Schizosaccharomyces pombe: one gene and its partner. The protein of the gene in region 1 interacts with the protein of each later gene in a biochemical or structural test. Each region holds a gene or a part of one and is shown on either strand. Other genes may lie near its edges.

Evidence for each region. Proteins that work in one complex are often made in the same cells at the same time.
Region 2: the proteins of msp1 (region 1) and cdr1 form a complex in vitro, tested with the Schizosaccharomyces pombe proteins (one study listed by BioGRID).

Annotation. Positions count from the first base shown.
Region 1 is NC_003423.3:3,476,441-3,483,325, forward strand, and holds msp1 (dynamin family GTPase Msp1), read left to right. Parts: upstream 1-3,255; 5' UTR 3,256-3,457; coding exon 3,458-6,169; 3' UTR 6,170-6,224; downstream 6,225-6,885. Other genes in the region: sct1 (glycerol-3-phosphate O-acyltransferase), read left to right, coding at 1-1,555; TRAPP complex subunit Trs31, read left to right, coding at 2,132-2,340, 2,385-2,569, 2,670-2,794, 3,002-3,112. UniProt on the Schizosaccharomyces pombe protein: Dynamin-related GTPase that is essential for normal mitochondrial morphology by mediating fusion of the mitochondrial inner membranes and maintaining respiratory chain function.
Region 2 is NC_003424.3:2,678,098-2,685,678, forward strand, and holds cdr1 (serine/threonine protein kinase (NIM1 family) Cdr1/Nim1), read right to left. Parts: upstream 4,311-7,581; 5' UTR 3,450-4,310; coding exon 1,668-3,449; 3' UTR 1,371-1,667; downstream 1-1,370. Other genes in the region: pct1 (RNA 5'-triphosphatase), read left to right, coding at 1-8; dut1 (deoxyuridine 5'-triphosphate nucleotidohydrolase), read right to left, coding at 530-952. UniProt on the Schizosaccharomyces pombe protein: This protein, a dose-dependent mitotic inducer, appears to function as a negative regulator of mitosis inhibitor wee1 by phosphorylating and inactivating it.

The DNA of each region.
Region 1 (6,885 bases):
ACGTGAGTTTCGTGGAGAAGATGCTGAGAGAGTTTTGCTTTCTCCCGAAGGGTCGTCTTACAAGGTGGCTCCTGAGATTGATCAAACATATGTTTATAATGAAGTCCGTAGACGTCTGGTGAAGGGTGCATGCATTGCTCTATTCCCTGAAGGTGGATCTCACGATCGTCCTGAAATGCTACCGCTTAAAGCTGGCGTTGCAATTATGGCGTTGGAAACTCTTTCTCAGCATCCGGATTGTGGTCTTCAGCTTCTTCCCTGTGGAATGAATTATTTCCACCCCCATCGCTTTCGCTCACGTGCTGTGCTAGAGTTTGGCTCCCCACTGTCTATCCCTACGGAATATGTTGAGCTTTACAAAGCAAAGAAACGTCGCGAAGCTATTCAAGGAGTACTAGATATGATATATGATGCTCTTCTTTCTGTTACTGTTCAGGCGCCGGATTATGAAACTTTAATGGTCATTCAAGCTTGCCGACGTTTATATAAGCCAGCTCATATACAGTTTGCTCTCCCTAAAGTCGTTGATTTAAATAGGAAGTTAATTGTTGGCTATAACCATTTTAAACATGATCCCAGAGTAATTCGTCTCCACGATAAAATCCTTTTGTATAATCGTCAGCTATATCGTTTAGGATTACGTGATCATCAAGTTCAATCGTTACAATACTCAAGATTCATGATTTTGTACAAACTTGTTTATCGGTGTTGCAAACTATTCCTTCTTGCTTTAGGCGCACTTCCTGGTGCCATTTTGTTTTCCCCGGTGTTTATTGCCGCTCATCGGATCAGCGTCAAAAAAGCAGCTGCAGCCCTAAAAGCCTCTTCTGTTAAAATCCAGGGACGTGATATCTTAGCTACTTGGAAGTTGCTGGTTGCACTTGGTATGACACCAATCCTTTATTCTTTTTATGCATTGTTATGTTGCTATTATATATATTCCTATAAGCTCATTCCTCATTCAAGTATATTTGTTTATACTGTCCCAATTATTTCTACCTTTCTTTTTCCAATGGTTACTTACGCAGCCCTAAGGTTTGGTGAAGTCGCTGTGGATATATACAAATCTATTAGACCTTTATTTCTTGCTCTGATACCCTCAAAGGCAAATGCTGTATATATTTTAAAGGATGAAAGAAAGCAATTGGTTGCAGAAGTTACGGACCTGATTAACAAGCTTGGTCCTGAACTATTTCCTGATTTTGATCCTGACCGGATTACTACAACCATTGAGAAACCTGAGCGTCCCTCAAGATTTGCGAGACGTCTTAGCTCATCTGTAGCTTCGGATGTTGATAATCTTTCCCAGCTTCACGACACTGATTTGAATTCGGAAGTATCAGCTCCTGCTCCTCTACAAAATGTCTATTTATATTCACCAAACCCCTCTGCTCTTCCACCTTCGGACGAAGAAGAGAAGGATATAAACGATAAGGCTAAATTAATTCGAAATGCTTTGCGCCAACGAATGGGACAACGTATGACTGAAATCAGATCTCGTGATACTCCACCTGAAGAAGTATTCAGTGAATCTGACGAAGAATTAAGTGACTGAGCAGTCGAAAAGTTTGACCCTAATGAAAATTGATGAAAAATTTTCCCTAAAAGCGTAACCGTTTAAAATGGTTATAAGTACCCTCCTGTGATTGTAAATTTATCTTCCTTCTACTCACGCCAAAAATTATATTGTGTATCTCAGTCGTTAATATGAAATAAATTTCTGTTGGTTTGTTATGTGATTTTTTGAAAAACAATTAAGCAGTATAATTGTTGTTCATAACATCAAATGTATTAATGTATTGGGTAAAACAATTTTATTGAATGTCCTGTTCGACAAATTAGTCAAACGTAACTATTAACTACTATTGAGCATTATTGCATAGAGATTGATTGCACGATTTAGTTACTTTTTTTAATGAATCATTTTATAAAATACTAAATATTTCTAAAAAAATTTGTATCGAGTGACTATTTGAATGATCCCAGCACTTTGTCTTAGAAGGCTAGACGATGTACGGACCCTGCATTAAGTGTAGGTACAAGTGTACTTTATACGAACCACAGCAGTAAACGTTTAAAACGCAACATTTGTATTCCCCGGAACTTTTCTAATTCAGGCTAAAAATATAAAATGCAATCCACTAATAAAGAATTATTCAGAAGCTCAGTCTCTGAATCCCTCAAGTCTACAGCACCCTTAATGGGAAAGAGTGTTTATGAGCAAAATTTGAATAAAATTCGGAATTCCGACGTCAATCTTTCATCGTTTGCATTTATTTTTAGTGAATTAATTCAAAGGATTCAGTCCCAAGTATCAGGAATCCAAGAATTCGAAGAAAAGTAAGCGTCAACATTTCAGACCGAACTGTTTACTAATGCTATAGATTAAACGAACACGGTTATAGAGTTGGTCAAAAATTAGTTGAATTAGTTGTTTGGAGGGAGCGAAATCCCAAACGTGAAACTCGTATATTAGGCATTTTACAATACATTCACTCATCTGTATGGAAATATCTTTTTGGGAAACACGCGGACTCCTTGGAGAAGTCTAAGGAGGCTTCGGATGAATGTATGTTTTCTATTGCTATGCAAATATTCGAACAAGCTATCATACGCGTTCTTGAATTTTTTTATTTATTATTCGTGTTTTTAACTAACTGGAGCTATAGACATGATAGTTGATAACAATCCTCTTCTTAACAAATTTATTTCAGTTCCTAAGGAAATGAATCAGCTAAATTGTTGCGCGTATTTAGCTGGAATCATCGAAGGATTCCTTGACAGTGCCCAATTTGTAAGTTGAAAATGAAGCATATATTTATGAATATACGGCTGCCATGTTGAATCTTGTCCAAGTGCTAATCAAAATGTAACTTTCGCTCGAATACAAATACAATTCTTCAGTTAAATGATAATAACTGCTGAATATACGTTTGTTAAGAGCCTCTGGCTTTTTTGTGCACAGCTTTTGTTATATTAAGACTTCTAGCTAACAATCTAGCCTTGTAAAGCTTCTGCCCACTCGGTGCCTCTTTCGCAATATCCATACCGAACTGTCATTCTCATAAAGCTTGATCCATCAGTAATAGCTAGAGAGGAAGTTTTGGGATAATGAGACTTAACACAAGTGTCATGTATTTCGTTGGAAAGCTTTCTATTGTGAAAATTCGAACATAACACATGAAAGCTTCGTTATTTCTAATTGCCTCAAGCTTTCCTACATAAAGGAAGATTTCGAGTACAATTGCTTTTTTCGTACATTCATATACCTTTAACAATCAAAGTTTTCGAAGTTTTTTTGTTATAAGGGAAATCTTTCAATACTTTAGAGATCCGTAAGATTCGGTCTCTCATTTGAAGAGAGCCTACGGGCTCATATCCTATTGTGTGAATTGTTTGAAGTTTCTTTGTTTTAAAGTCAATCTAATCGTTTTACTTACTCTTTCTTTTTACTGAGATGGGAATTAGCTGGTTTTTGTCACGTTTTAGAATACGAACTGTGGCGCCGTCTAGCTTTCTGAAGCCAAGGGGTTTGGTGTATAGACCATCACAAATTCGTCGCCGTGTTAGTTTGTTATCGTTGTCAGGGTTTCATCCATATCGTGCGTACAGTATATTAGGACCGAAAACTCCTACAGCTTTTAATTCTGCTAATACTGTACGATTTTTTTCCTTTTCCTCTATTTCAAGACTGGTGTTTAGATCCCTTCGTCTCCCAGTTGCAGGGTTCTCTTTGGTTGCTGGAGGTGCTGCATACATTGGTGCTCAAGTTCAAAGAGCAAGCGATTATACGAAAGACATTTTTGATAAAACGTTTGGAATCCTTGACTCTACTTGGGAAAAAACCCGGGAAACTGTAGCAAGCGTTACTAATGTCCAATTACCGGAAATAAGTATGCCCTTGTGGCTTGAAAAAATTCTTCGGTTAGATGAGGAAAGTGCTGAACGGCGTCGTGTATTACAAGCCGAAAGAGCAAAAGAGCATCGCTCTAATTCTAATGACAAGCAAAAAAGTTCAGATAATGATGAAGATCCTAATGATACTACAGTTGGAATCGGAGCCGCGCTTGCAGCCTCTATACTTAGTGTAGATTCAGTTGATGGTGAGGATACTCTTACAGCCGACGAAAAACGAAAATTAGCGCAAGAATCGAAAGAAGATCGCATGATGTTGTTTACGAAAAAAATGATCGAAATCCGAAATATTCTACAAGATATTCAAGATAACAACAGTGCAGTGACTTTGCCAAGCATAGTTGTCATTGGCTCTCAGAGCAGCGGTAAAAGCAGTGTTTTGGAAGCAATCGTTGGGCATGAATTTTTGCCAAAAGGGTCTAATATGGTAACTAGAAGACCTATTGAGCTTACTTTAGTACACTCTGCCGATACCGCTATCCCCTATGGTGAATTCTCTGGTGTTCAACTTGGTAAAATTACCGATTTTTCTAAAATTCAACATATTTTAACAGACTTGAATATGGCAGTTCCTTCGAGCCAAGGAGTGGACGATAATCCAATTCGTTTGACAATCTATGCGTCTCACATACCCAATTTATCTTTAATTGATTTACCCGGTTATATACAAATTCATTCTGAAGATCAACCTGCTGATTTAGACATGAAAATATCTAAATTATGTGAGAAGTATATCAGAGAACCTAACATCATTCTTGCTGTTTGTGCGGCCGACGTTGACCTTGCTAATTCTGCAGCTTTGAGAGCCAGTCGACGTGTTGATCCTTTAGGTTTACGTACAATTGGTGTTGTAACTAAAATGGACTTGGTACCTCCTTCAAAAGCAATTTCGATTTTGCACAATAATAACTATCCTCTACATTATGGTTATATAGGTGTTATTTCTAGAATCGTGCCGACTGGCCGCTTTTCAGCTGGTCAAAATTTAACTGATCTGGTTAGCACACAAGAGAACAGCTATTTTTCTACGCATCAACAATTTGCTGATGCTCGAATTGGAAATTATCTCGGCATCCAAAGTTTAAGGAAATGCCTTATTAATGTTTTGGAATATACCATGTCAAAAAATTTACAGCATACCGCCGATTCAATTCGAACAGAGTTAGAGGAGTGCAACTATCAATATAAAGTGCAGTACAACGATAGAGTTTTAACAGCAGACTCGTATATTGCTGAAGGCCTAGACATTTTCAAAGCTGCTTTCAAGGAATTTACTCAAAAATTTGGTAAAAGCGAAGTTCGTGATTTATTAAAATCTTCTTTAAATGAGAAAGTTATGGACCTACTTGCTGAGCGATATTGGACTGATGATGATATTAGTAACTGGTCTAAGCATACTAATGCTTTGGATGAGCATTGGAAGTACAAACTTGATAGTTGCGTATCAACTTTGACGCGCATGGGTTTGGGAAGAGTTTCTACTTTACTAGTTACTGATTCAATTAGTAAATGTATTGACGAAATTACGAAAGCTAGCCCATTTGCGGATCACCCAGCCGCTATGCAGTACATTATGAATGCTGCTCAAGACATATTGCGACGGAGATTTCACGCCACTTCTGAACAAGTTGAAAACTGTGTTAAACCTTACAAGTATGATGTTGAAGTCAACGACGATGAATGGAAATCTAGTCGAGGTCAAGCTGAAAAATTATTGCAAAGAGAACTTGGTTTATGTCAGTCTGCTTTAGAAAAAATAAAAAATGCTGTTGGATCTAGACGCATGAATCAGGTTTTGCAGTACTTGGAAGAACAAAAAACTTCCAGTGAACCTTTGCCCGCTTCTTACAGCACGGCTTTGCTTGAGCAAGGACGAATGTTACAATATCTAAAAATGCGCGAGGATATTTTAAAATTACGAATTTCTGTTTTAAAATCTAGGGCCTGTAAGCACAAAGAAGCGAAGTACACCTGTCCTGAAATTTTTTTAAATGCCGTTTCTGATAAACTGGTTAATACCGCAGTTTTATTTATTAATATTGAGCTGCTTTCTGAGTTTTATTACCAATTTCCACGTGAACTGGATCAGCGTCTCATCCATTCTTTGAGTTCTGAACAGTTGAATGCATTTGTCAATGAAAATCCTCGTCTCAAGTCACAGCTACAGTTGCAGCATAAGCGGCAATGTTTGGAATTGGCTCTGCAGAAGATCAATTCATTAGTTATCTTGGAACAGCAAGCCGATAGCGATTAAATAACGAGTAAAGTAGTCCGAGTTTAATGAATTTTTTTAACTAACTTTCCAAAAATGCTTGTATGTGTTACTATGTATAGCCTGGTAGTTTTCTCGTGAATAAAATTGTTTGTAAGCAGTACAGAATTGCGTTACAAATTTTTGATGCATATTGCAAATCTATGTTTATGAAAAGTGCACAACATTCAAATAACTACTTAAATTTTTGCAGTAACGTTACTGTTATTCAAATAATACATAGGCTTCGCTCATCAAATCTCCCTGATTGCATAAATCATTTTCGTAATAAGATTGGGTATTTTAAGAAACTCCCTTGATTCGAATTATAACAGTATATTACAGATACCACACAAATCTAATAAAACCCCGATTCATGCGTATCGCATTGCTAGACGAAGTAAACAAGATTCGAATTTAATACTATAAATATATATTGTCCAATCTTCTCATAACTCTTTAAATCGCCATTCTGCAAAAAGCTAAAGGTACATGATTTGCAAAAATAAAAACAGTACCCTGACATATGACAGAGTAACTAACTCATGATCTTCTTTAATTTTTTTCTCTTATAAATTCTATCTTGACCAATAAGGTCATCAAATAAATAAAGAATAAAGTGTGAACATGACTGGCAAACTCAAACCTTGCGATAAAACCATAAATAAAAACAAGGTAAAGGCGATTGCAAAAGAAAAGCTCACATAATGTTACAGAAG
Region 2 (7,581 bases), on another chromosome or scaffold:
ATTCTTAATTCTTTACACTTTTGCTACTTATTTGACATTCTTAAGTCATTTCTTAATAATTGTTCCTTGCTTTGCATCAGAATGTAAAGGGGTTTTTAATTACTTTAATTTAATCATCATTTCATACTGGGCAATAATCAAGGTAAAAGAAAGTCACGTTAGGTATAAACCCCCATGCACATATTTTAATTTTCGATTTTGTATCTCGGTGATTCTAAACTGAGGCTTAATCTTGGATGATTCTATTTTTTTTTTTACCTATTACGACGGGTAGTTAGAATTTCTACGTACATTTTCTAAATGTACACCTAAATTAAGGATCAGCTTTGTCTGATAACATCATTCGTTATAATTACTGTATCTTTACGAGAGCAGCTTACAACTCCTATATTCCTTTAATTGCAAAGTTTTCAGTTACTTCACCCAATAAAAATATTTATTGAAGAATTTTCATACCGAATATACAAAATAGCATTATAAAATACAAGTGTCCAAACCTTTGATTGCAGGTTATGTTTTAAAAGCGGCCTCAAACACCGGTACTTCCAAAGCCATTAGCACCGCGGACTGTAGCCTCTAAGCTCTCTACAAGTATGACTGGTGGATTGACAATTCTTTCCAAAATAAGTTGGGCTATCCGGTCTCCGACCTTTATAGGAAAATCAACATCACTGTAATTGAAAAGTAAAACACGAACATGGCCACGATAATCTGCATCAATCACACCGGCGCCAGTGTCAATGCTATGTTTTGAAGCTAATCCGCTTCTTGGAGCAACACGACCATAAGTCCCCTCAGGAACAGCAATTGCCAAATCGGTATCCACTAAAACTTTTCCTCTTCTTGGAACTATACATTCAGCAGCCGCGTACAAATCATATCCAGCAGAATTTGCAGAGCCTTTAGTAGGAATGGTTGCTTTTTCAGAAAGTTTTTGAACGAAAAAACTCATGTTTAAACTATAAAACTGTGTAATTTCACAGACAATAGAATTCTTGATTGGGAATGAGTGTTTGCAATAGATACTGGCGTTGCATATAAATTTGAAGTTACGCGACACGTTGCGGTTGACGGCGCGTCGCGTTTGTTTACATTTAGTCAAGATATACACCGTACAACATACCTAATATATAAACGTAGACAGTGTATAAAAACTTTCTAAAGAGGTAAACGTTTATAGGAATTATTTCTTCATATTTTATTTATTGCGATAACTCTTAAACCTCAATTTTATTACTAAACACTCCGGAATATTCGACAATTTTCAAAAACCAACAGACGTTATTACATAAAAACACCCAAATTTCATATAAAACTAATGTTCACAACAAAATTTTACTTTATACAGACTACTGATTTCTGGAAAGCGATTGTAATAGAAGATATTCATTAGTTACATATATAAACTAGTGTGCCCAAATCATTAACAGATATATAACGTAAAACCCTAAAACCATTAAATTGCTAATAGACTCAAAGGTCCAATTGCCAAAAAAGATCATTAAATTCGTAGAAAGGTACAGGTACACACGACGGGAGATCCAAAAAAAATAATTATCATCCTCATTAAATTATAAACAGATCTTAACATTTGAATAGCCGCCCACAGTATAGACATTAATGGTTGATTTTGAGGAAGAAGACTGTGTTTTTGAAAAAATTCCTATTTAATCCTTCCGAAAGAATGAAGAAATCTTTCGTAATACAGAACCGGAAGAAACTTTTCTGGGAGTATATCTTGCATTAGTAGCATATTGAGAATATCTCCGACTTGGAACTGGAGATGAACATAAAGGAGCAGAAGCAGATCTCACATTAGTTATGTTCGGCTGCATATTACTGATTACAGGAAAAGATATGGGACGTCTATTTTGATTGCCTGATCCTTGAACAAAGCCTCCAACCTGGACATCGTCCAAATTGGTTAGCCCATCTATTGATGGTTCAGGAGTTGAAAGTGAATCAGGAGTGTAGTAGCCACTGGCTGTGCTAGACAGAGTGGTGCTAGGAAAGATGCGGACATAGCCATACCGATTGAATGGTACGGATTCTAATTGCTCAAGGGTAGGAGTGGGGAGAGATTGTAAGTCCAGAGAATCAGTTCTAACATTATCAGTTGAATAAGTATACTCTTCTGGTGGACAAACAAACATATAATTATAGTCATCATCCAAAGTCGATGGGTTTGAAACTACTTCATGACAGGCATAGCTGTCATAATCCTTGTCAGAAGACACCCTGATCGGTATTGGAGATTGAGACATTTGATTTAAGGCTGAAAGCGGACTAGAAACTCTTCTAGCAAGTTCATCTTCAAAATTACTACTTTTGCGAGAGTTTGTCGAAACATTGGATTTTACTAACGATGTTGTTGAAATAGAAGCTTTGGTGAAAAGATTATTGTCGTGAATTAAATCGTAAAGACTGAGATATTTATTTTCATCAAAACGTTGTTTTTTCAACATATCATCGCGCAAAATCTCGGATAAAACTTTATACACATATTTTTCGTCGTTATCATCTCGCTGTTGAAGACGACGAACGACTTTTTTAGAGGATGATTTTTTCCAAAGCACACACATGCAATCAACTACTAATGGATCAATTTCGTCAATTGACAGTGAAGGGGTAGGAGGGGTAGTGCTATCCATAGAGCTCAATGATGTACAGCCCATTAGAAATGGATGAGAAAAAACTTCCGGAATTGTTATACGCGTGCTTGGATTTACATCTAGCATTCTGTGTAACAAATCTTGCGCAGCCGAAGAAATTGAAGAAGGAAGATCATATGCGCCATGGCGAATCTTATTATAAATAACATCTGTGTTTTGACCACCAAAGGGGAGCTTATTCGACAACAATGAATACAAGATGACACCACAAGACCAAACATCAGCAGGAGCTCCACGATATGGTTTGTGAGATACAATTTCGGGAGCCAAATAATGTAAAGAGCCGCAATAATTCTCAAGACAAGAGTCATTTGGTTCAACAGTGGCCATGCCAAAATCAGCTATTTTAATTTGTTGCTCATTTACCTTGATGAGAATATTCTCAAGTTTTAAATCCCGATGGCGAAAGCGAAAGCGATGACAATGCGCTACAGCATCAAGAATTTGGGAAAGATAATGCGCAGCCTCTCTTTCGCTCAAAGGTCCATGTTTGCGTATATAGTGAAAAAGCTCACCATCAGGGACGTACTCGAGTGCTAAGTACATATGCTGATGATCGGTCCAAACATCGTATAGTCGAAGAATATTAGGATGGCGCAACAAACGCATCATTAAGATTTCCATTCCTATGGAGGCATATCGAATAGGGATAATTTTGATGGCAGCCAAATCACCAGTTTTAGCATGCTTGGCAAGACGCACACAGCTAGTGGAACCAGTCCCTAAAGTCTTCCCAAGACGCCATACGCCAATAGTATTTTTGTGTCGCTTCACCATTCAAATCTAACCTTTTATTAAGGGAAAAGGCTTTCCAAAAGTAAAATTGCAGACTGAATAATAGCAACTTCAGAAAATCTGAAATACTTATGATGAAAAGTAGAATAAATGTCGAAAAAGTAGCATGAAATTTGGAATAAGTAAAGGAAAAAGTGAATGACACCACGATACAAAATAGGGTGTGATCACAAAATAGATACTGGAAACGAATTAATAAAATAAGAGTGCCTCATAAATAACCTAAAGCACTTTTCTGAGTGTATTGTAGAACAGAAAAGTGAAACGTGGAACGGAAATAGACGGACCTTGAAAAAAAAATGGGAAGTAGCACAAGAACACAAATAACAAATGTAAGTTACAAGACGTTTTGAGTAACAGCAATAAAAAAAGGTAAAGACAAAGAAAAAGAAACGAAGGGGAGCGTAAAATAAAGAAAGTATGTAAAGTGTATAAGATTCGTGATGTATAAATCCAATAAAGGTTAAGTTAATGATATTCGAATAAGGATTGAACTTTCATAAATTAAAAGAGAGAAGAAACAAGAAAGGAGAAAGTAAAAATGGAAATATTGGGGCGGTCAAATAGTTGAAAAAGGTAGAATAAAATAAACTAACGGATTTTAATTCAAACCCTGTATAATCAGATAAAAATATGGAGAACAGTAAGTAAAACAAAGAAAGATGAATGAATAAATAAATAATATGTAGAACAACCCACTATATAGAAGGCCTACAGATGTTTCAAAATATCGATCTACAATATTAATACAAACAGGATCCCAGCAATTCCTAAAATCGAAAACAATGCTGAGTTCTTATGCAGAGTAGTCCAAAAGACGGAATTGGCCAAGATAAGTTTGGCAGAGGACAACATGAATGCTGGAGGAGCGGATATAAGTGTTCAAGAGTAGGGAAGGGTGGGGCACTACTTGGACTTGATCAGGGAACATATGAAGAGTGTATTGAAGGCTTACGATTATTTCGGCGGATCACGATAGGATGACTTAAGGAACGGAAGCAATCCACTACTTGGTTTCTAGTCCTTGAGGGTGGTAATCTCAGGCTCATAGTGCTGTCTTGATAAAAACTTGAATATTAACAGCTGATTTATAGCTGTAGAGCAAATTTTATTTAGTTTTTCAGTTTCGCTTTATGAAGTTTAATTAATATTCATATTGTAGTAAAATCGAACCGTTAAAGTTGTCTTTTCTTCTCTTATTTACATTTTCGTTAAAAGCAACTTTAGCAGTCTTTTCTGCTTCTTTCACATTTGTTTACGTAGTACTCGTTTTGGCAATCTAGGAGCAAGTTATTGCAATAGATGAATATTTTTTCTTGTTTTACTCGTGTAGTTTTAGCAGGGAATTCCAGTTTTTCATCGAAAAGTAACACGACTTGGTAGCACGGTCAAGAACCCGTTCTACTTCGGGGATAACCAGGGACATGATGCATACCATATCTGATAACACATGCCATTACACTTTTTTTGAAAATTTGAGCAAAAAAAATAATGAAAACAGGTACTTGAAATCTGACAAGTGTTAGAGCCGGCTTCATGCCAAACATTGAAACTTGCTTCAATAATAGATGAAATCTCAGTATATAATGAATGTATTGAACGGGTTACTGAAGTTCATTTCATCATTATAAGCGAATATTGGATGTTTGAAATCGTCTTCATCCTATGGTATGAATAACAACGACTGTCGTGAAAAGTTGATGAAAGACTATAGGCCCCGCTTAAGAAATTACGATATTATAAAGAATCTATAATTTTCTACAATTTAATTGAAATTTTTATATTTGGAGGCGAAAACTTATTCTTTTTCAGCTTGCTCAACTTTATGTGACTTTTTTACATGGTATATCAACATGAACATTCTTACTGCAAATATTTCAACTAAATAAATTCATTAAATTTTTATTAGACAATAAAAATATACTATAGCAACTTGAGAGCTGCAATACGTGTACGCCACAAACAATTGAGAAACAAACAGAAATTGTTTACACAGTTTCGCTGTTTTCAAAATATAACCACGGGTAAGTAATACAGTTGGCATACAACATTTGGGTAACCTACCATAATTATCAATTGAGCGCAAGAATGGCTTGGATACTGACTCAACCCCAGTCTACTGAATCGACGATGTTTGGAAAATCGAATGAAACCAGCAAAACCGATCCTTCACCTTTAACTATCGGTAATCCAAGTTTGATTATCGAGCAAAGATGTGGTTGGTGCTTGGACAGATGGATCTACTTGATTGCTTGATATTTTTCGGTGTCAGTTCGTTACGCTAAAATGACTAAGAAAAATGAACACAGCCTCGATAAACAAATATCATCAGTGCGATCCAACAGCGGTATTTGTCTGAGTTTCTGGTTTACATTCCGAGCCACATGAAAGATAGGCGTTACAGGGCTCGGGAATGCAGCCGAAGCCGTTCAAAGTTGTCAATAAAGAACGTTTGGTAGAAGTGTCCAACAGCAACGAAGTGTTGATGACTTGTTGCCAATGATGAATTTCTTCACTATTGAGTTGGACTTTGGAATGTGAGTGGTCGTACCAACAACTACGGGTATATGGCCTTATTGCAGTGTAAGATTATCTCATTGTCATACAAAGTGGGCAACTTCATACGCAAGGCGTGGGTTTCATGAACACACAAAACGAATCGAGATGATCATCGTTGGATACTCGCTTGATGCAGCTGCTAACGGAGATGCACAAAGCAATCGAACTTTACCATGACATATCCGAAACATGCTAAGATCTTGTTGATGCATTCGTTGACGTTTTTTCAAGATGTTTCGTAATTTCTATACCCCCGGGTGGAGTGGAGCTGCACTTACGAAAGGATAAGTTGAAGGCTGATTTTTCACATCCCTTCTTTGCAAAAGTTTCCAAAGATGAAAAGTGGAGATGCTATTACGCTAGCACAATATTCATCATCATCTGATCTGTTGTATAAAACTTTTTCATTTCATAACTTATGAAGTCAATAATAGTTTTTGAAAATGGGATTTCCTAATTTAGTCAATTTTGTGTTCCACGTTGCACGATGGTTAAAAACGGTAATTTACACTACTGCAACATAAGAAGGACTTGTAAGATATAGACATTAAAAAATAACCTCCCAAGGCGAGACTCGAACTCGCAACCTTCTGATGACCATCATAAGAGTCAGACGCTCTAAACCGATTGAGCCACTCGGGACTTGCTTGTATTGTGTTAAATTATGTACAATTATATAATAAAGTCTTTAAACAATGAAAGGCATTGAAGGTGTTCAGCTTGAATGAATTCTTTTTAGTATGTTCATTGATCTCGAAAGAAAAAAGAAATGAAATGAAAAACTCAAGGTTTGTAAGTATAACTTTTTTGGTTTTGAAAACGCTTGAATATGATGTTGAACATTGATAGCAGGGTAACCAGTATATGTAAATATAAATGCATCTTGAAAAACCTGTATAAGAAGTGCAAGTGGGTTAAAATACATTGATTTGAGTATATAAAGAATTTCTTAATGTTTTGGCAAATTCGAAGACTTTTCCTTTCTTAGCTTTTAACAATGACTATTTCTTTCCTCCCAAGTTCTTTGTTGATGTTTCTTTGTTCGCCAAGAGAATTTTCTTTGTCAAAATCTTTGATCTTTTAAAGAAAGTGTGCATATACATAATCACCAACTCAGTTCAAAATACAATTTGAATTTCATACTAAAGTATGCCCAATGATTTTAAAAGTCATTAGTTTTTTTCCAAAGTACGATCTCTTACGAATACCTGTAAGAAAATTAATATTATACATCAGCCTCGATTTAATTATGTTTTGGATGCAGCTTTAGTTTTTAATTATATTCATCAAGTGCAAAATTGCAAATCACTAACATACTTGCAAGCGTTTTTTCTGCCATGAAGAATCGGGATGTATATGTTCTACATCAATTACTTATCTTAGTGTGAAATGCAAATTTATATGCAGTTATTTTGTTCTGAATATTTATTATATGCTACCATCATCAATGTGATCAAGTCATTAAAAAATTTATTTACAGGCTCTAACATTTGTATCATTTCTAAAGTCCAGATCAAGCGACCTCGGAAGAAATTTTTTCTTAATTACTCAATTG